Oryctolagus cuniculus: one gene and its partners. The protein of the gene in region 1 purifies or fractionates together with the protein of each later gene. This does not show direct contact. Links are inferred from orthologs where the notes say so. Each region holds a gene or a part of one and is shown on either strand. Other genes may lie near its edges.

Region 1 (3,500 bases):
CTGAGCTGGCCGAAGAACTTCTACAGTGGTTTTTGCAGGAAGAAAAAAGAGAATGCTTTGGAGCTTGTCTCTTTACTTGTTACGATCTTTTAAGGCCAGATGTTGTCCTGGAAACCGCATGGAGGCACAATATCATGGATTTTGCCATGCCCTATTTCATCCAGGTCATGAAGGAATACTTGACAAAGGTAATGATACCTCTGAGCATATTCAGATCTAACTGTCTTGAGGATATATAAAAATCTACTTACAGGTCTATTTTTTCAAATTTTTTTTTCTCTAGTAGAAGTAAGTAATTTAGGTGATGATAAAATATTCCTGTTTTTTAGAAATTTTTATTAGCTAACAAATGACATTTGTTGGAAAGAGTACAATCATAACTTGTCAGAATATTTACCCTTAGTGTATTTCTGGCAATGAATAATCATATTCCGTATTTCGTTGTCTATTAACATGTGATAAAAATGTATCAAAATAGGAAAAATCAAAATCATTGTAACTTAGGTGGCCATAACTAATATTTTAAATTTCCCTTTATTTGGTTTGTTCCTGACTTTAATGTCTGTGCCTGTTCCCCCTGGGAAAACTGTATATGGCTTCTTAACATCTGGTTGATTTTCACAATTTTTGATATAACCCCTGACTTTAAAATATCATAGGAGGTTAATAATTAACCACGTTTCTTAAAACAACTAGAACAAGCTGGGGGTATAATCTACCTTATAAAATTGACTTGTTAATCTTAGTGTCCCTTTTAAATGTTATTTTTTTATTCACCTTATCCTTAACAGTTTTTAGCTTTCTGGTTTTAGAACATTTTAAAATGATTACAAAGGATCCATTTTGTCAAAAAAAAAAAAAAAAAAGGCTTAAAATCAGAGTCTCACGTCTGATACCTTCAGCATGACTAAAGGGGGATAGAAAGCACTATTCACAACCCCCAGGACACTGAAGTTTTCCTTAAGATATCACCTAATTAAATACTGTTGTATTTGGTTACAGTTCTTAAAGAATTAACATTTTCTTTGTAAAGTTCAGTGTAAGAGGTAAAAACAGTTTGCCCTATCTTAGCTTACATGAGAATAGCTTCTTTTCTTATGCATTATACCAACTTTTGAGACCTGGCTCTAAGCTGCTGTTAACCTAAGTGCCGTAAATTTTACTAGTGATTAAGCTGCTTTCTTTCACACTGACTGTAGCATAAATTCTTCTGCAATAAGCTCTGAAGTTAAAAAAAAATTTCTCCATTTTGCTTCCAGTATGCCCTTTATTTTCACTTCTCTTATACTTTTTTAGTGGTTAGATGTTTCTCCCTAAACCTTTGTTGCTGATTCTACCTTTTTATGCTCAATATGGAATTTGATTTTTTTTCTAAGCTGCACCTTCTGAATTCCTTTGCAGGTTGATGCAATAAAGGAAAAGGTGAAAGTTGATTCTTTTCCATCTTTAAGTCTGGAGGACTAAGTCTAAGGAATTTGCATGATTTTTTTTTCCTTCCTTTTCTACACTGCTGCTGCTGCTTTTTCCCCCCCAATAAATTTTCACTAAAGCCTCTGCAAGTCCCTTGAAACATAACGATAATAGAGCTGTAGGACATTAGTAGATGTTTGCTACTAATCGGCTAATAGGCTTTAGGAAGGGCAGGAGGCTAATCAGTAGTTGGTTCACAGTCTGTCTTAAATACGTTATTAAAAACTGAGCTTGGTGAGTTTTCATATTAATTCTAAACTATCAGGAAATTTCTTTTCCTTGTCAGGGTATCTGACTGTAGTAGGAGTTTCTTAATAACTTGAAATAAATTAAAACAGCCTCTGGTTTTATTTTGTGAGCTTCCTGACAGTTGTTGAATTTATATATGTGTATACATGCCCTAAAAGGCTTTTTGGGGTTTTTTTTTTATATTGAAGGACTGTGATCCAGTTTCTGATCTCTTGATTCTTACTAATTTTTTGCTGAAAGTAGATAGAAGAGATACTAGCTGCTTCCGAAGAGACTTTCCTCATGTTTCTCCAGGTGTCCAGTTCTTATGGTGCTAGTCTATTTTTAAGAAGACTCAAAACCTTTTTATATGAGAGCCAAGTTTGCTGTAATTGTTGCTAAGCAATATGGATTATTTCTGTTGATAACAAAGCAATATTGACTTCTTCCTGAAATAAGGTACATAACTTAAGATACCTAAAATTTGCGCTCTCTTCAATCACTTGGCTTGTCAGAGGTCAAATTGAGGCACCTTTTGGGTGCTGCTGCCTTCATTGGCTTGTCTCCATCTTATATAAATAAAACAATAAACTTCCAAATTCTGGTTAGAAAAGGATGGGAAGGTAAAGGAGAGTTGAAACAAATTGAAAAGTATTTAAGTGGGGACAAAGCCTTGGGATTATATTGAACCAAACTGGAGTCACCACTGGAACTTAGGGCAAACCTGAGTAAAATGCATTGTGTGTGAGACCCTTCAGCAGCTAGTAAGCAAGGCAGTTAGAAAGCGTGTGTGTGAAAAAATAGGTAATTGAACTGCAGTGTTATGCATTGTTCTCAATCAAGCATGTACAAGTCATTGCGATTACATCATACTACTTTGAAACTATAGCATTGCTGTGGGCTGTGTGTGTTTCTTGAGAGCCTGTATAGCAACAGTCATCCTCAGATCTCACTTCTTGCTTCAGTACTTTTGCCTTTTTTTCATGCACACATACACCAGAATAACTGACTGCATGTTAACTTTTCCTCTGCAGCATATTGCAGTCCCTGTGGAAAAGCCTTTTAGTGAATTTTCAGTAGCACAGATGGAACTGAATTCGGTGACTTGCTTACCTGTAATTTTTCATTTTTAATGCAAGGATCAGAAACTTTTGTTACAGCTCTTAACAAAAGCTTGTGTTCATAAAAGCCTTCTCTGCTTTCCTTTTTTGAGCAATCTAAATTGGGTTAGTGGAAACAAATTGGATGTTACTGTGCCAGAGGCTGTCCTATTACATAGAAAAATCAAAAACTTTTTGCTTAACTTGATGCTATTCCTTCAGAATTTTTGTTGTTTTTTCCCCTCTTACAACCAACCTGCCTGTATCTATGCCTGGGCATTGTGGTATTGCTAGCTTTTCTAAGTCTTCCATGTATTTCTGTAATAGGATTTCTGTGTTCAACATCTGAGTCAGACATTAATTTTTTAAACAGGTGTTAGTTCACTTTAGATTCTTTTCCTTGAAAGTCCTGAAATGTATTATGGTGGTTTTTGGTTACTTCATTTTTCTTAGAAGTTATTAATGTACAGGCATCCATGTAATTTTTCTGCCTAACTCCTATAGTTCACTCTTGGATACCGGTTTAGTAAAACCCCCATCTGACCCTTGATGGCACAGAAGTGTGCTTTAAATTCGATAGCTGTAACAATTTTTATTTTAAGTTTGGATGCCGAACAGTGGGTATTTAACATTGTGCTTATACTTAATGATAGTCTTTAATTTGATACTGGGATGATTTGTAGTGTGATCATTCAGTCTGTA
Region 2 (3,302 bases), on another chromosome or scaffold:
AAGAGCTTGAGATAAATAGTCAGGAAAATGGGCCTGTAGCAGTGCCCGGCTTCTTGGCTCCCTGGCTGATGGGCTGGCCTGGCCTTTGTGGCTGTTTGCCCCTTACCTGGTGGCACGGCATGAGCTAGACTTGGGGGCAACACCTGGCCTGTGTGACCTGGCTGGCTGGACCTGGCCAAGCCGGGGCAAGGTCACACACTACCTTGCATGCCTTGCTGTGCTCTTATCCCTTGCCTGTCTTGTCTGCTGCCACCTCATGGTGTGTGCCGTCCTCCCAGTGTGTCGTGTGTCTAACCCTCTCTCTCGTTGCTGTCACTCTCCTCTTCTTGCTGGCGTCATTTCTCTCATCCCATCTCATTGGCTGCCGTAGCAATAGGTAAGGGGCCTGTCAAGCTGCTGCCCAGGTACAGGTGGGTGGGGGACCTTGCCCACCCCACCCCCACCCCTGTAGTCCTTCATTCCTTGAACTTGTCCTGGAGTTGGATCCCAGACAAGAACGGGTGGCACAGCTCCATGGTCCCATGGTACTTCTCCCGCAGAAGGGCAGAGCCTTCTCCAAACTCACGCTTTGTGTAACTTCTAGAGGCGTCAGCTTTGCCCACTGCAGGGGCTGCTAGTGGGAGGACTAGAGAAGAAGCAGGCTCTCATTCTCTCATTCTCTCTTGTCCTGGAACTTACCAGGACGCTAGAGGTGGCAGCTGGTTATAGGTAGGAAATTGGAAGCAGGCCTAGCAGTCAGGGACATGGCTGCCCAATCTGAAGAGCTTTAGTTTATTAAGCTTACGTCTGCCTTCCTGCACTGCCTCTTCACTTCCCTGTTTCTCATGGTCTTTGGCCCAGCTCAGGCCACCTCCTGTGCCCCACTGGTTCCCTGCTGGTGTAGGCATTGGCTATAGACTGTGTGACAGACTTCAGCTGTGAGGAGGGTGGGGCTCTCAGCAGCTGTGGTTGGTCCCTGAGGTTTGCCTGAGCAGTCCTGTGCACCCTTTCCCCTCAGGAGGAATGCAGTGGACGCCTTCCGGGTCAATGTTATCCACGCCCGGCAGCAGGTGCGCAGCCCCGTCACCAACATTGCTCGCACCAGCTTCTTCCATGTTAAGCGTTCCAACATCTGGCTGGCAGCTGTCACCAAGCAGAATGTCAACGCTGCCATGGTCTTCGAATTCCTCTATAAGATGTGTGACGTAATGGCTGCCTACTTTGGCAAGATCAGCGAAGAAAACATCAAGAACAATTTTGTGCTCATATACGAGCTGCTGGATGGTAAGGCCAGTGGGGCTGTGGGCCTAGGGTGGGGATGAACCCGACTGGGCCCAGCCTGGTAGCGGGAGCTGGGTGGAAGCTGCGGTGCATGCTGAACTTTCTGGAGTGTCTGCTCTCTCGGGCTGGGATTAGGCCAGTTCAAATCCAGGCCTAAAGGCTGCCCTGAAGTGGAACACAGAAGTAGGCCAGCAGGTGGGGGCTGGGGAAGTTTCAGCTGGAACGTGACTCTGGCTTCCGTGCCTGGACCTCCCGTATTCTCTTCCTTCCTTGGTGGTTTGCACCTTCGTTCACCTCCTCCCAGCTCTCTCTCCATCTTGGCAGCTGCTTTGGAGCCTGGGAAAGGGCGAGGTGTTACAGGCCCCTTGGGGTGCACTGCTACCTCTGTTTTCTGAAAGGTGTGCTCTGCACATGAGCCCTCCCACTTTCCCATCATCTGTTTTCTAAAGAAAACAAGGTCTCAGCCTTTTGACCTCTGACCCACTGGGCACGTGACACTTCTGCTGATTTCTTTACTTGAAAAAAATCAAACACTGTCCTGTTTTCTTACAAAGCACAGAACCCAGGGTAAATGCTGCAAAGCTGAAGGGAGGATGCTGTGAATGATTCTCCAGGGTCTTTGCCAGCTTTGCTGGCCAGACGTGTCCAGGCCAGGGGAGGGACTAGAATGAAGGCACCTTCAGCTCTGTCCAGGGCCTTATGATTCCCTTCCTTTTGCAGAGATCCTGGACTTTGGCTACCCACAGAACTCTGAGACAGGCGCTCTGAAAACCTTCATTACCCAGCAGGGCATCAAGAGTCAGGTACTCACATTGTACAACCACTGTTGGGGTGGAACCCAACTTCCCTTCATGCCAGCTGGCCCCAGCCTTGTCCGAGCTGACTCATGAGTCCGCCCTTGACAGGAAGTACTGGCTTGAGCCTCCTGCCATGACTGTAGTCCTCTTTTGTCCATGTGGCTCTCCCCACCGCCCAGGCAGGAGCAGCTGACTCAGCATCTCTGTTACCGGGAATGCATCTCAAGCAGTTTCTTCCTGCACTGGGGGCAGGGGTGGGCTGTCTAGAGGAGCATGCTGGGCCTGCTTCTAGGATCCAGGCCTCATGGCCTTCTCCTTCTTTTCTGCCTCTCCTGCGGCTTCGTGTGGGCGCCTTGTTGGTCCTGCGGCCTACAGCATCAGGTAAGCCGTCCTGTATGTCCACCCTTGCAGCTTTGCGCTGTTTCTGCAGGCCTTGCACCATGCAGCAGGTGGAGACTAGAAGGGAGGAGGGATGAGGCTGCAGTGGGGACCCAGACAGGAGGATTAAAAGGAGAGAGGAGTGAAACCTCTGCTGCATCTCTGCCTCCACTTAGACAAAAGAAGAACAGTCCCAGATCACCAGCCAGGTGACTGGGCAGATCGGCTGGCGGCGAGAAGGCATCAAGTATCGCCGGAATGAGCTCTTCTTGGATGTGCTGGAGAGTGTGAACCTACTGATGTCCCCACAGGGTGAGGGCCCTCTTATGGGACAGCCAGAGGAGGGGCCAGGGCAGGATGCAGAGCCTGCCTGTTTGACTCAGCTGCTCCCATTTATCTGTTTGGTCACCAGGGCAGGTGCTGAGTGCCCATGTGTCCGGCCGGGTGGTGATGAAGAGCTACCTGAGTGGCATGCCCGAGTGCAAGTTTGGGATGAATGACAAGATTGTAATTGAAAAGCAAGGCAAAGGCACAGCTGATGAAACAAGCAAGAGGTGTCTGATTCAGGGGAGCAGTGGGAAAGGGCAGGCCTTAGAGGGCTCAGTGGGGTCTGGGGGAGTTCTTTCTCAACTTCATTTCTGTTGTAATCCTACTGTCTTCCCAAGGGTGTGCTTGGCTAGTTGCTCTTGACACCAGTTCTAAGAGCAATGAGAGATGAGGGGTTTGTCTACCCTGCTCTCGTCAGAGGACAAGCCCTTTGGTGGGTCTTCAGGACCGAGCTTGCACCTGCTGATGCCTCTGCCTGGTGTGCCTGAAACACCCGAGTCCTGAGCAGCAGCATCTTGAGGGGAAGGGCATGCAAAGCTC
Region 3 (3,338 bases), on another chromosome or scaffold:
GCCAGGGATGTGTTTCTTTTTGGGACCTAAACTACGGGGACCTGTTACAGACAGTCTACCTGGGGAAGAACAGTGAGGCCCAGCCTGCCCGCCAGATCCTGGTGCTGGACAATGCTGCCATTGTCTGCAACTTTGGCAGTGAGCTCAGCCTAGTCTATGTGCCCTCTGTGCTGGAGAAGCTGGATTGAGCCCTCCGTGCCCAGGCACAGGGGGGAGAAGCCTTGTGGGCCAATGCACTGGACTGAGACTTGGGGGAGGAGTTGGGTGTCCTCTGGCAGCTGCCTCTTGACTGTAATAAACATTTTTTAAAAATAACATCTGTTAGAGGTCTTGTGAACCACTCCTCTCTCCTGGAGGAATTCCTGCACCATTTCCTGAGCCTAGATCCCCTGTAGAGTTGCTCAAAGAGGAAAATGGGGGAGGGGTTTCCACATTTTCAACAGAGTTGAAGCTGGGGCTCCCTCCGCAAGGCAGCAGGGAACAGACTATGAGACACTGGCCACAGAACAGGGTGGTTTATTTCAGTAGCAAAGAACTGAAAAATGTCAGGTCCCACAAAGGAGCAGAACCGACCCACGGCCCGCAGTGCACAAGCTGGGCCAGGGAGGGATGAAGGCAGCAGGAATGGGAACCAGCGGCTGTGCTCCCCGCAGAGGCCTGGCTGGGCATGAGCAGGTGGGCAAGGAAGATGTAGTGTGGACCAGACAGGCAAAGCCTCAGCAGGTCTTGTTGAGTGTCCAGAGTGGATCGAGAAGGCTGAGGGGGTCATCAGAGGGCCGGGCAGCCCGCAGACCCTGCCCATTATGGGCCTGGAGAAAGTTCTGCTTGCTTATCCGCTGTTTTCCCCGCAAGGAGCCGTCCAGGGAGAAGGCCTCTGGGGTTAAGGAGGCCAGCAGCTCCAGGGAGGAGGAGGGGGGCCCCAAGTTGGGGGCTTCAGGCACCGGCTGTTCCTTCTCAGGCTGGGGGGTTTCAGGCAAGGGTGAAGAGAGAGGTGGTGGAGAGGAGGAAGGGATCGGGGGGGGCTCTGGGAGGCTGGCTGGCGGCAGGCCTGGGGGCTCTGCAGGGCCTGGCAAGCTGGCAGCCGAGGAATCCAAGCCCCCAGAAGGCCGGATACTGAGCTTGGCGATGGTGGCCTGGATGGAGCTGATGGGCACATCGCCGCCGAGAACCAGGTCCTGGGAGTCCTGAGGAAGGTGATTCTGCGAAGACGCGGTCAGTGAGGAGAGGGATGCGCAAGCTGTGGCTGCCCGCAGCCTCCGGGGACCCTTACTCACCTTCTGGCTGGTGCTCGTGCTGGCCACAGGTTTACAGGGAGGGGGCACGCCGTGGCGCTGCAGCACCTGCTCCACGTGTCTCACTACTGCCTCGTGGCAGAACCTGAGGTGCAGCTGCAGGGGGGCACTGGGCTTGGTCAGCTGGCGGGGGACTTGGGCCCGAGGCCGCCACCACCCCCCCAGCTCACCTTCTCCTGCAGCATGTGCTTCCTCTGCTGCCGCATGCGCCGCACCAGCTGAGGCAGCTCCGGGATCCCGTTCCCAGCCTCCACCTCCTGCACCGCAGCGTAGAGCAGTGCAAAGGCCCCTGTGCGGCCCACACCAGAGCTGAGGCAAGAAGGGGGGCGGTGTGTGAGGCCAGGCCAGGGGCCCACGGAGGAGGAGCCCATGGGCTACTGCCTGCTCCCTACCTGCAGTGCACAATGATGGGTGTGTGCAGTGGTCGCTGGTGCAGATAATGTGCGTGGACCTCCTGGATGAAGCGTAGCAAGTTGCTGGGGCTGTCAGGCAGGCCTCTGCGGGGTTGGGCATCGTCCGTGAGCCAGGTCTAACCTGAGGCGCTCCCTCTACCCACTCCCAGAGATCTAAGGCAACAGACTCACAATTCAGGCCAAGTCGGGAAGTGGAGATGTACGAGAGAGCGCTTGAGGCTTTGGTCACGGAACTGCAGGCTCAGGACACGCTCCACGTGGGTTTCAGTGGTACGCACGCTGCTCAGTGCCAGGCTCAGGGCGCCGTGCACCATGGGCTGGCCCCTCTCAGTGGGGAAGTAGCGTGCTACCTTTTGCTGAGGAGCAGACAAGACAGGAGCCACAGGTGATCTTCAGGACCACCCCCCACTCCCCCAGGGAGCACCCAGCCAACTCGGACTTACCTTCTCCATCTCTGCTTCAGACACCAGCATGACAATGACTGATACTTTCTGCTCATGCACCATGAGCCAGAAGTCAGCCGCTGTGCCAGGCAGTGGGGCCTGAGTAGCCACTAAGGGTGGGCAGTATGGGGAGAGCCCCTCCACACAGCTGGCATTGATGTAGTCGTCCTTGCCTGAGCGCAGCACCACGCGGTTGCTGTCATAGGGCATGACGTCCTGGTGCCGGTTCTTGAGTGAGTAGCAGCGGGCAATGGCGATGGAGCGGCCTCGGGCATCCTGCTCCTGGGCATCTTGGAGCTCCCGCCAGGTGGCATCCAGAGCAGCCGCGTCCCCCAGTTGACCCCGAAAGGCCTCCAGCTCCTGCTGCAACCGCCGCAGCTTCTCAGGATGCTCGTAGGGGTCCCGCTCGATAAGTCGCAGGGCCTGTGGCCGACGGCCTTCAGCTGCATCCACCTTGGTAGGCTGCAGCAGGGGCTGCCCACCCCCCGGAGGCTGAGGACCACCGTGCTGGCTCTCTGGGCTGGAGGAGAGCAGGTCTGCGGCAGCAGTGCCTCGGCGCAGGCAAGGGGGTGGCTCTGCTGCTGGGGGCCGAGAAGGGCCTGGGCCAGGCCCTGGCGAAGGAGCAGGTGAAGGCACCAGGTGGGGGCTGGGGCTGGGCTGGCCAGCAGGAGGTGGGCCTCGAATCGAGAGAGGGGCGGCCTGGGGGCCCAGTGGCCTGGGGGAAGGAGCAGGAACATAGGCCAGGTTGGGATGGGGAGGTTGAGGGGGCCCAGGGCTGGGGAAAGGCAGAGCCCCTGAGTGGGGTGCCAGAGGCTCTTGAGAGGGGCCTGGGTAGAGCTGGGGGTGCAAGGAGGGTGGTGGTTGCCCCAGGACACCAGACTGGGGGGCAAAAGGGTAGGAGGGTTGTGGAGGCAGGAGTCCTGGGGCCTGGGATGGGAAGAGGGGTGCATGCTGGAGCGGAAGGGGCTGCTGGGCCGGCTGAGGGCCAAATGCCACTCGAGAAGCAGGAGGCTGCGGCCCAATCCTGGGGGCTGGAAATCCTGCGGGGATCCCAGAGGAGAAGGGGTGCTGGGCTGGGGGTAATGTCAGGGGTTGCTGGGCCCCCACAGGGTAAGTATAGGGCGGGGGCATTGGGAAGCAGGGCTGGGGAGGAGGAGCAGGAGTAGGGTTGGGCCGGGGTGCAGCATGGC

The links. Proteins that work in one complex are often made in the same cells at the same time.
Region 2: the proteins of CLTC (region 1) and AP2M1 purify together in Homo sapiens (affinity purification with mass spectrometry; 3 studies listed by BioGRID and IntAct, with this or other methods). This does not show direct contact. The link is inferred for Oryctolagus cuniculus from reciprocal best matches to the Homo sapiens genes CLTC and AP2M1.
Region 3: the proteins of CLTC (region 1) and PTPN23 purify together in Homo sapiens (affinity purification with mass spectrometry; 3 studies listed by BioGRID and IntAct, with this or other methods). This does not show direct contact. The link is inferred for Oryctolagus cuniculus from reciprocal best matches to the Homo sapiens genes CLTC and PTPN23.

What each region holds. Positions count from the first base shown.
Region 1 is NC_091448.1:34,984,464-34,987,963, forward strand, and holds part of CLTC (clathrin heavy chain 1), read left to right. Parts: coding exon 1-188; intron 189-1,401; coding exon 1,402-1,422; intron 1,423-3,500. UniProt on the Homo sapiens protein: Clathrin is the major protein of the polyhedral coat of coated pits and vesicles. Two different adapter protein complexes link the clathrin lattice either to the plasma membrane or to the trans-Golgi network.
Region 2 is NC_091435.1:93,758,148-93,761,449, forward strand, and holds part of AP2M1 (AP-2 complex subunit mu), read left to right. Parts: intron 1-997; coding exon 998-1,263; intron 1,264-1,980; coding exon 1,981-2,063; intron 2,064-2,611; coding exon 2,612-2,747; intron 2,748-2,847; coding exon 2,848-2,989; intron 2,990-3,302.
Region 3 is NC_091441.1:101,439,993-101,443,330, forward strand, and holds the end of PTPN23 (tyrosine-protein phosphatase non-receptor type 23), read right to left. Parts: coding exon 2,149-3,338; intron 2,062-2,148; coding exon 1,877-2,061; intron 1,790-1,876; coding exon 1,685-1,789; intron 1,602-1,684; coding exon 1,463-1,601; intron 1,389-1,462; coding exon 1,275-1,388; intron 1,200-1,274; coding exon 717-1,199; 3' UTR 501-716; downstream 1-500. Other genes in the region: SCAP (sterol regulatory element-binding protein cleavage-activating protein), read left to right, coding at 1-188. UniProt on the Homo sapiens protein: Plays a role in sorting of endocytic ubiquitinated cargos into multivesicular bodies (MVBs) via its interaction with the ESCRT-I complex (endosomal sorting complex required for transport I), and possibly also other ESCRT complexes.